Linked DNA regions of Caenorhabditis elegans. The protein of the gene in region 2 interacts with the protein of the main gene of each other region in a pairwise test. Each region holds a gene or a part of one and is shown on either strand. Other genes may lie near its edges.

Region 1 (6,711 bases), on a different chromosome or scaffold from region 2:
CAAGTGTATCTGGCATGAGATCAGGAGTTGGTTCCTGTTGAACCATTCCGAGAACAACATCACGAAGACGGGCGAATACTCCAGCAGATTGTTGGAATAGTTTTGCAGATACTTTAATTTCATCATCGGTATGGAATTGTTGAGCAGCTCCGATTTGAGACATCAACGATCCGATATTGAACAGAACGGCAGCACGTTCAAAGGATCCGTCAGACAGGGATAAGGATGCTCTGCTTGAGAAGAGGCTTCCTTTGTCGAATGCATCCTTCCATTTGAAAACAACTGGATTTTGAGTTGCAGAGATTATAATTTTGTTTTCAATGGCAACGAGTTGATCATAATATCTGTAAAAAACAATTATTTCAAAGATATTCTTTTTTTTTAAATTTATTACCTAGTCAAAACATCGAGAGCACTTTGATGCTTGTCGAGAGGCTGACAGCAAGCTTTTGAACGGAGTTTATTAAGTTCCTGAACAGCTTCGGCGACATCTGAGCGGTTATTATCGGATGTATTGTAGACATTGTCGATATAGCTTGTAAGTGGCTTCACAAGATCCACTTCATTAGTCGATTTCAGCGGTGCGCTGAGAAAGCCGAATGTAGCCATTCTGAAAGAAAATTAATACTAATTTGAAGTGAGAAATAAAAAAAATAAAATAGAAAGATTCTCTTTAAAGAATTTTTCTGAAATTTTGACAAACTGTGTTTCAATTAAAATGTGAAACATTAATCAAGAAAACCAATGAATTTAGCAAAAAAAACACGAAGATGTTACGAGAATTCAAAAATAAAGTTTAGTTTTAGTAAAAGTTTAATTTTTACAGTTATATTCAGTTAGCAGGGTCAATTTTCTATAATTTAACGCAAAATCCCCAGCCAATTCACTCCATCCTTAATTTGAGGTGAGCAATAGGAAAATACGAAGCTTCTCGTTAATGAAGGACAAGAAAAATGTAATAGAAAGTAAGTTCATCACATCGATTCACACTCCTAATCATTCAACAAGAAGGGAAAAACGTCATTTCAGACATTAGAATGCAAATAACGTTCGTGATACGAGTGATGAGTCATCGATGCTGCCGGCATGGTGACCGCCCCTCTCGATTTCGCAATTCGGGTTGCAAATAGAATTGAGGTGAGAAAAAAAGAAAATCAATAGATTTCAAAATTAGTAAACGTATGATTTGATATGAAATAACAATTTGAATTCTAAATATATTGAGTTTATTTTAAGCTAGGGCCTAAGCAATCCACTCTCTCGAAACAACTTTCAACACTTCAGCTCTCCGATCTGTTGCTTCCGGGGTTCTCAAGCGCTTGAGTTAACAAACAAATCTATAGAAATTGAACCGTTTAAGTGGGTATCGGTGGTTGATGATACAGAGGGAAATTTGAAGAACATCAAAAATTCGGATTCAATAGTGAAAACTGGTGGCATTGAAGTAGATTGTGATTTTCTACTGATTTATAGGCTATTTTTTGTTTGAAGAGACCTCCGGGAAACCTTTAATGAGAGAAAAGAAAAGAAAAAGATGCAACAAGAGAGAAAGAGTGTTGAGAAAATTGAAGAAAAAACAAAAAATTCGCGAAAAATGTTTTTATGAAAGAGCGCTCTATCGAGACACAAAAGTCTGAGTCTCTTTTCATAATGCGTTCTCTCTCGCTCTCTCATTTTTTATTTATTTTTTATTTATTTTCGATTTCCTTTTCGAAATTAAATTAGTTTTTCTTAAATTCTTTATTTTTTAGTAAATGTCGGATAAACGGGCAGATGGCCGCCTCGAAGGAACCAGTGACACATTTGGTGGATTGGTTATTAAAAAGAAAAAAGTAGAGGGAGATTCAAAACCAACCGAACCATCCGGGAAGTGAGTAACTAAATATATACTTTAATTTTCTTCAAATAAAAACAATTTAAATTGCAGAAGCTTGCTTGGGCTCGATAGATTGGCGTCTACAAAGCGGGAACACGCCAGAAAACGTCTTGAGGATGATGACGATCGAGGTGTCACGGAATCGGTTCGAAAAGGAATTGAAAAGTGATTCAAACATTAAATTAGCGAAGTAAATTGATGATTTCAGAGTTCATGAGAAGCATCGAGATCGTGACGACCGTGGAATGAAATACAAAAGTCGGGATGATGATCGCAGACGAGACCGTGACAGATCAGAACGAAGAGAGCCGAGTAGTAGAAGAGGTTGGAAAGATCGAAGTGGAGATCAGACTCCTCGCTTTAAAGTTCCCGATACACCATCCAGAATGAGCTGGGATCAAGATGATCGTGAAGGATCTTCCAGAAAACGAAATAGTTGGGATATGCCGACTCCGCGGGGTGAAAGAGACAGAAAACGATATATGGATTCGGAACGAAGCATTTCAAGTGCATGGAGAAGTGAAAGAAGGAATAGAGATGATGAGAAGAGACGGAGACATCGAAAACCAGAAGATTCGGTACGAAGTGTTAAAGAAGAAAAAGCAGAGCCCACATTTCATGATGACGAAGAGAGAGCTCAATGGGAAGAGGAACAGAAGAATTTGGACAGAGAATGGTATGATAATGAAGGAGCATTTGATGATGAGTATAATCCATTCAATAAGGTTTCTGACGAATTTGTGGAAAAACGAGAAAAGCAATGGCAGGAGAAAACTCAGAAGCCGAGACTTACAGTGAAGCAGCAGGCGATCAAAAGAGAGAATGAGTTATGGGAGAACAATCGACTGCATAGATCAGGAGTCGTCGCGATGGCTGATGAATTATCAAGTATTTTTGAAGATGAAACTGATGAGAATCGTGTCACAATTCTCGTTCAAAACATTGTTCCTCCATTCCTTGATGGTCGAATTGTTTTCACTAAACAAGCACAACCAATCATTCCGGTTGTTGATACAACATGTGATATGGCTGTTTCAGCAGCAAGAGGAAGTGTTGCAGTACGAAAACGGAGAGAAGTTGAAGATAGGAAGAAGGCTCAAGATAAGCATTGGGAGTTGGCAGGATCAAAACTCGGAAATTTGATGGGTGTTAAAGAGAAAAAAGATGAAACTGCTGATCCAGAAGACGATGATTCTGGAAATTACAAAGAATCTCATCAATTTGCATCTCACATGAAAGATAATGAAGCAGTTTCGGATTTTGCGATGGAAAAGTCTATCAAGCAGCAAAGAGAGTATTTGCCTGTATTTGCGTGTCGGCAGAAGATGATGAATGTGATTCGTGAGAATAATGTGGTTATCATCGTCGGAGAAACAGGATCAGGAAAAACAACTCAGTTGGCACAATACCTACTTGAAGATGGATTTGGTGATTCGGGACTCATCGGATGTACTCAGCCGAGACGTGTCGCTGCAATGAGTGTTGCTAGACGTGTAGCTGATGAAATGGGAGTGGATGTTAGTTTCATTTTTGAGATAATTATGTATTTCACCACTGTTTTAAGAAAACAATTTTATTTTAATTTTTACAGCTAGGACAAGACGTTGGTTACGCGATTCGATTCGAAGATTGTACATCAGAAAAAACAATAATCAAGTACATGACAGATGGTATTCTGCTTCGTGAATGTCTTGGTGATGGAAGTCTTGATCAATATTCAGCAATTATTATGGACGAAGCTCACGAACGTTCACTCAATACAGATGTACTCTTTGGTTTGCTCAGAGAAGTGATTGCAAAACGAGCTGATCTGAAGCTAATCGTTACTTCTGCTACTATGGATGCTGATAAGTTTGCAGACTTTTTCGGAGGAAACTGTCCCACTTTTACAATTCCTGGAAGAACATTCCCAGTCGAACTGTTTCATGCGAGAACTCCTGTTGAAGATTATGTGGATGCTGCTGTTAAACAAGCTGTTACAATTCATCTGGGTGGTATGGACGGAGATATTTTGATTTTCATGCCAGGACAAGAAGATATTGAGTGCACTTGTGAAATGATCAAAGAGAAGCTTGGTGAACTTGATGAAGCTCCTCCACTTGCTGTTCTACCAATCTATTCCCAGCTTCCAAGTGACTTACAAGCCAAGATTTTCCAAAGAGCACCCGGTGGAATGCGGAAAGCAATTGTGGCTACAAATATTGCAGAGACATCGCTCACTGTCGACGGAATTCTATTTGTAATTGATCCGGGTTTCTGTAAGATGAAGGTGTACAATCCAAGAATCGGTATGGATGCTCTATCGATCTTCCCAGTGTCACAAGCATCAGCGAATCAACGAACTGGTCGTGCCGGACGTACTGGACCAGGACAGTGTTATCGTTTGTATACTGAAAGACAATTTAAAGATGAGCTTTTGGTAAGTTTGAGGTGAATCTCACAAATCTGGAGTGAGCGACGAATGCTAAAAATTTCATGGGAAAAATATCGAAAACGACAAATTTTTAATTTTATTTTTTAAAAATATATATTAAAAAATATATATATATGCTCAGCCCTGTTTCAAATAAAAACAAATTTATTTTTCAGAAGAGTACTGTACCTGAAATTCAAAGAACCAATCTCGCCAATGTAGTGCTTCTTTTAAAGTCTCTCGGAGTGGATGATCTTTTGAAATTTCACTTCATGGATGCACCTCCACAGGACAATATGCTGAATTCAATGTATCAACTTTGGACTCTTGGAGCTCTCGATAACACTGGACAGCTCACGCCAATGGGACGAAAAATGGTTGAATTCCCACTAGATCCAACTCTGTCGAAAATGCTCATTATGTCGGCTGAAATGGGATGCAGTGATGAAGTTCTGACGATTGTTTCGATGTTGTCAGTGCCCGCAATTTTCTTCAGACCAAAAGGACGAGAAGAAGAAGCTGATGCCAAGAAAGAAAAGTTCCAAGTTCCCGAATCGGATCATCTCACTTTCTTAAACGTCTATATTCAATGGAGAACACACAAATATTCTGCAAAATGGTGTGCCGACAACTATTTACACGTAAAAGCTTTGAAAAAGGTTCGAGAAGTTCGTGCTCAATTGAAGGAAATTATGCAAGATCTCAAGCTTCCATTGATGTAGGTTTTTTTTATTTGAAAGTTTCTTAGAACTACAATTTTATAAAATTATTTCAGCTCAAACGGAAGTGAATGGGATATTGTGAGAAAATGCATTTGCTCTGCGTATTTCCACAATGCAGCTCGTCTTAAAGGAATTGGTGAATATGTCAATGTTCGTACCGGAATTCCATGCTTCCTTCATCCAACTTCAGCTCTTTTTGGAATGGGTTTCATGCCTGATTACGTGGTAAGCAGGGCTGAATCTGAAGAAAAAAAAATGCTGAATCGGTATTTCAAATATTTCGGCCAAATTGCACTCTATTTTAAATTTTGAATATGATTTTTGGAAAAAAAGTAACACTTAAAAATTTATGAATGTTTCAGTATATCCTCTTTTTCGAAAAAAAGAAGCGGAAAATAAATTATTCGCCAAAAACACATTCCTTTAAACTTTAAATTAATATTCTAAATTAAGGTGTACCACGAATTGATTATGACAGCCAAAGAATATATGCAATGTGTAACTGCTGTCGATGCAATCTGGCTTGCTGAACTTGGACCCATGTTCTATTCGATCAAAGAATCGAAACAATCACGCAAAGAACTGAAAATGGAGAGTGTCCGAACGGTTGAAACGATGGAAGCAGAGATGCGAGAGGCGCAGAAAGAAATGGAACGGCGGAAGGAAGAAAGTGACAAGGCGTTCAAACGACCAGAATCTTCCAGGCGTGTTGTTGAAGTCGGATCGAAATCGGCCAGATCGGAGAGAAGAAAGCTGTGGGGTCTTTGATCAATTACTCTCTTTCTCTGTCTTATTTTCTCGTGTAATCGGGTGTCACTGTTAATACTCCAGTTCGATTTTCTATATACTCTGTTGCAATTTTATTTTCAGAAGTTTATTCCATAAACCTTATATTTATTTTTACCTTTTTCAATTTTTCCCACTTTCGGTACATTTCCTTTTTTACTGTATGTTTTTCAACAACAAAAAAAACTCAGAACAAAATTTTCAGAATGATTCTCGGTGATATGCCATTGGAAATCATCCGAGAAATCCATAAAGGGTTAAAACCTACGGATCTTGTTAATTCAGCTTTAAGTAATATCGATGTGATGAGAGTTATCGTAGATATGATTCCAAAAATCCGTGCTATAAAGATTGGAATCACAAGTGAGAAATTGAATGGAAAATGTGATGGAGACGAATTTGAGCTTCATATTCCAAAAGTAAATCGAGAAGAAATTCAAGAACTTTTACATTTTCTAATGCCACAAATAGTTAACGGTATTTATTTTCTTATTCGTCTATTTTACTTTTATCTAACTGTTTGGATACAAATTGAAACATTAAAAAAAAATCATTCAATTCTCGAGTATAATTGCCAATTTGATTTTCAGAAATTCATTCCCTTCAATTGGAAAATGAATTAGTCGGCGACGAGATTTCTGATGAACAGCTAGCTCAACTGCTCCAATTGACAAAAAATGCTCCACTAAAGCAACTGGCACTATCTGAAATTGATTTGGAACGAATAAATACATGGACTCTCGCTTTACTTGCTGGTTATGATAAGCTTGAGAAAGTTGAGATTGAAGGATGCAATTTGGGAGGTGACACTGAAGCAAAGTTGCTCAGATGCTTTCAGGCATCTTTCCAGACTCTTACTCAAATTGATTTGAAAGGGACTTCACAGGTGAATATGATACATTTAAAGGAATCTC
Region 2 (4,544 bases):
CGTCAGAAGCAAGAAGATGATAACCCGATGGACTAATAGAGAGTCTTTTAATGTTGTAATTGCAGTCAATATCCAATGTTTTTGAAGTATTGCTGAAAAATTATATATCAAATGTGAATATAAAATTATTTTTTACTTTCTGAGATCAAAAATTGATAGCTTGTTGCCAATAGGTGAAATCACTGAGTATCCATCTTTGCTGAACGCCACTTGACCGTCTCGATACACTGTACCAATGCAATTGGACAACTAAAATGGGTTTGGTGGAATATTAATTGAATAATTAACGCTTCAAATAATTACCTTGAAATTAGTGTCCATAGTGAATGGCAAGACTTCAATGAAACAAGCTGAAAATGGAAGAAATAATGAAAACTAAAATATATTTTATTTATATAAAATACAAAGCACGAATTCCGCGCTAAGAATCTTCATTGGCGCAATTCTCGTGCGTTGACGCAATTGCGGATTTTAGAAGTATCGCAATGAGAGATAAAAACATTTCCATTGAAGAATATTCTTAAGAATATTATTTATAAAACACCAAATACAAGAAATTTATAAACAGCAAAAATGTGTGAAAATACTTTATTAGACATGACGGAAAAAATTTAAAAGAAAACCACATTTAATAATTTTAAAAATTGATTTGAATAGCGTTCATTTATGCGACTTCTTTCTCCACATTTTCGGTGATTCAGATCCATCACGATCAGGCGATCCGGAATCATGACGACGCCTTCTCACAGGCAACTTGTTGGGCGATGGACTTCTACGACGTCGGATCGGTGACGTAGAAAGACGCCTTGTTGGCGGGGAATCGGATGGTGAACGTCTCTTGCGCTGTCGTTCTGGTGATGGAGATCTACGTCTTCTTGGTGATGCAACCATCGGAGATGATTGGCGACGTCGCAGTGGCGAGTATTGTTTTCTCGAACCCAGCTGACGATTGTCAGGAGACGGAGAACGACGTCTTCTAACAGGGGACACTGATCGTGAATCATGACGGCCATTTCTTTTTTGTTCTGGTGAATGTTTACGAACACGCTGACTTTCCTTCCGAATCGACGATGGACTTCGCCGTCTTCTCACTGGTGAATCCTGACGTTGTTTGGGTGAAGATTTCCGATCTCGTGAGCTTCTCCTCTCCGGCGATTTCAACCCGATACTTCTTTTGGCGTTCGGAGAATCATCTCTTCGAGATCTCTTCCTCTCTGACGATCTTACTTCGTTTGACGATTCTGAATCATTATGCGCTCTTTTTCGGCTCGAATCCTTTCTTCCATGGGAATTCTCGTCTTCTGATAAAACTTCCTGCTTGATATACTTCGATCTGTATTCCGGAGAACTTTCCACTTCTCTTTTGATCCTTTTCGATGATTTTTCTGAAACATGAACTGGTTGAAAAATCGAGAAACTAATAACTACTCTAAGCGTTTCGTTAATATTTGATATCAATGAACAAGTGTTTAGGATCAAATTAATTATGTAAAAACCTCATCTTTAAATACCTTTCCAATCATCCTCACTATCGCTGCCATCAGAATCGTCATCAGTTTCACGAGATTTGCTCTTCTTATTTTTCTTCTTATCTTTCTTCTTGTCTTTATTCTTCCGTTTCTCTTTCTTTTCCTTCTTCTTCTCTTTTTTACTCTTCTTCTTCATTACATCTTCCAAATCTGCACCGCTCATCAGCTTCTTATGCAATTTCTTTTTTTCCTTTTCAGTCATCGAATTGAAAAACTCCAGCATCATTTCTTCTTCGGTCATTTCTTTTTTCATTCTTGTTAGCTGTTGATCTGTCTGCATTCCAGCCAAAACAGAACTTTTGAGTTTGATTCCATGTTCTTCACGCATATCACTCGCAAGTTGCTGATGATCCATCCACTCATCCTCATCGTCATCTTCTCCTGTCGCCGCAGCAGCAGACGATTTCGATGTTGAAGGTCCTGCTTTGCCTTCCTGTCGTCTCCGACGAAGATCTTTGATTAGGTCTGATGGATTATTTGCATCTGAAAATTGATTTTACACATTTAATTCGATTTTTTTTCGGAAACTTACATCCTTCATCTTCAAAATTTCCAGATTTTCCGAACAATGGACATTCTCGATCCGTATTTATATGACCCCATTTGTGGCATTTACAGCATCGAACATTTCTAACTTGAATTCCGAATGGTTGATCTTGGATCTCTTCATTTCCTTTAGCCCAATCTTCACGTGGTGCTTGATATTTCCGTTGCCATTCGAATTTCGGCTCTTCTTTCGGTTCTTCTCTCTTTGTCATTCCAGCTGGAGCATCATACATGAACGATAATCCCATTTTGGCCTTTTCGTCTCCAAGAAGAGCTCTGAAAAATATTTATAATCTAGTGAGAAGATATTGAATGCAACATACTTGTTATTCAAAATTTCTTGCTCTTTCTCATAAGCAACTCGAAGTTCTTCTTGTCGTTTGTCCTCCAAAGACTTCTTCTGTCGTGCTTCCCAGACCATTTTGAGATTCCGAAAAGCGGATGGATGGAAGTCCTTTTTGGACATGAAGTTTTGAAAACCCTTCCCCATTTTGCAACGCTTTTGTTTTGATTCTCACTGAAAAATTCTGAAAATACTTGAATGAAAAATTGAAGAAAGAAAAATAATTGAAATATTTAACACAGTTCAAAACTGTCAGAAGGTAATGGAAAATAAATTCAAGTGGATAACTTCATAAAAAGTTCAACAAAAAATCAAAATCAACAAATAGAAAACGCGGTATATAGAAAAAAAAACAATATAAGAATTTGTAGAATAACAAAAAACAAAACAAATCAAGCAGTCTCAAAGATTTTGATTGTGCAGTCTGCGGATCCAGTTGCAATTAGTCCTTCATTCCACGTGGCACACAAAATACGATCATCGTGTCCATGAATGTCGAACAATGAAGACTTTGAGGATCTGAAACAAACCGAATATTAAAGTAAAAACTGAATGGTTCTTTAATTTTTGAAACAAGACCTACCTTACATCCCACATTTTCGCAGTTTTGTCGGTGGAAACACTAACAAATTGATTTGTATCCAACGGATTCCATTTGACAGCTTCAACCCATCCATTTTGATGTCCAATGAATGATTGTTTAACCATACTTCCATCTGAAATGTTTTATAAATACAAGAGACTAAATAAATATTAACAAACAAACCTCTATTTTTTGGATCATAAAGTCTTGGAATAGCATCAGTACAACTGGAGATGAGAAGATCACTCTTCGGATGAAGATCAATGCTTGTGAATGATTTGGGTCCTTTGATCCGCGAAATTTCACCAGCTTGAATGAAATTATTTTTTGTATATAAATAGGATATTTATCATTAGAACTAACCTAATTCCAAATCCCATTCAACAATAGTATGATCCCACGAGCACGAAAATGCGTGTCCAGAATTCCATGGACACCATTCGACTGCGGATACTTTGTCACGATGCCCTCCAATCGTAACCATCGGAACTTTAGTTTTGGTTTCTTTCTTTCGGCGTTTCTTCGCACTTTCTTCTTCTTCTTCTTTCTCATATGTTGTTGCTTCATCAGATGCATCCAAGTTCCAAATTTTGAGATTTGTGTCGACTGATCCAGAAATCGCACGGGTCGAATCCGAGTTGACTGAAACACATTCGACGGCACGTTCATGACCACGAAGGATGAGCTGGAAAATTTTTATTAAGAATGAAGTAATGACTGCAAAATAAAAAAAAAGAATTTTCGAAACAAAATTTATTGATAAAACTGATAACCCCGAAATTCGAACACCTAACCTTCTCAACAAGTGCTCCTTTTTCAATTGCATAGAGAGTCAGCAGTTGATTTTCACCGCCGACCACAAATTCTGTACCGTCCAATTGATTTTTCTCTGAAACAAAAATTATCGTTTTTTTAAATTTCAACTAGTGTTAAAACTGACTAGATGGTGCTTTGACGATTGAGATGCACTTTAAAAGACGATTTGCTGAATTAACAGCCAACTTTGTCTCTTTTCCTTTACGATCCACAATTACAATGTCTCCTCCGTAGGTTGTTGAGAAAATGCTGAAAATTTCAGAATGAGACTTTTACCAAACATTAAGCGGAAAAAACATACTGGCCGTTTGCGATTTGTACCGAAGAAACCCAATCAGGCGCTTGGATATCATGAAGTGGTTTTGGAGCTTCAATTCCAATTACGCATTCCACTTTAAGGATTGTTTCCTGCAGAGCTTGTTTTATTAAAACTCTAAACTTTTTTTAAATGAAATTTACCGTTTCCACTTCGTATTCCTCGATGAATTCAGCTAGACTCGTGCGCAAAAACGTTTCACCAACCAGAAATTCGAATCGCCGCTCTTTCCATGCACCTGAAAAATAAAATTGTATAACATTTTTATTTGAAATAGCTGAAATAAACCATCATTGGCTTCAATAGTCTTGTTCAATAGAAGATTCATATCATCACATTCTGCTCCAGTCGGAACATCAAAGACGGCATCCGGAATTTGCGGAATTCTGAAAAACGAACATGATGCATTTG

Evidence for each region.
Region 1: the proteins of cir-1 (region 2) and mog-1 interact in a two-hybrid assay, tested with the Caenorhabditis elegans proteins (one study listed by BioGRID).

What each region holds. Positions count from the first base shown.
Region 1 is NC_003281.10:9,951,256-9,957,966, reverse strand, and holds mog-1 (putative pre-mRNA-splicing factor ATP-dependent RNA helicase mog-1), read left to right. Parts: upstream 1-1,751; 5' UTR 1,752-1,754; coding exon 1,755-1,870; intron 1,871-1,927; coding exon 1,928-2,041; intron 2,042-2,084; coding exon 2,085-3,393; intron 3,394-3,467; coding exon 3,468-4,295; intron 4,296-4,465; coding exon 4,466-5,007; intron 5,008-5,064; coding exon 5,065-5,236; intron 5,237-5,464; coding exon 5,465-5,779; 3' UTR 5,780-5,907; downstream 5,908-6,711. Other genes in the region: alx-1 (Apoptosis-linked gene 2-interacting protein X 1), read right to left, coding at 1-344, 395-609; K03H1.11 (F-box domain-containing protein), read left to right, coding at 6,004-6,274, 6,388-6,683. UniProt on the Caenorhabditis elegans protein: Probable ATP-binding RNA helicase involved in pre-mRNA splicing.
Region 2 is NC_003279.8:5,653,256-5,657,799, forward strand, and holds cir-1 (CBF1-interacting co-repressor CIR N-terminal domain-containing protein), read right to left. Parts: upstream 2,603-4,544; 5' UTR 2,566-2,602; coding exon 2,399-2,565; intron 2,352-2,398; coding exon 2,062-2,351; intron 2,013-2,061; coding exon 1,512-2,012; intron 1,386-1,511; coding exon 661-1,385; 3' UTR 573-660; downstream 1-572. Other genes in the region: F55F8.3 (Periodic tryptophan protein 2 homolog), read right to left, coding at 1-92, 137-249, 304-321; wdr-12 (Ribosome biogenesis protein WDR12 homolog), read right to left, coding at 2,811-2,937, 3,002-3,134, 3,185-3,310, 3,365-3,686, 3,796-3,890, 3,942-4,066, 4,119-4,225, 4,277-4,371 and 1 more.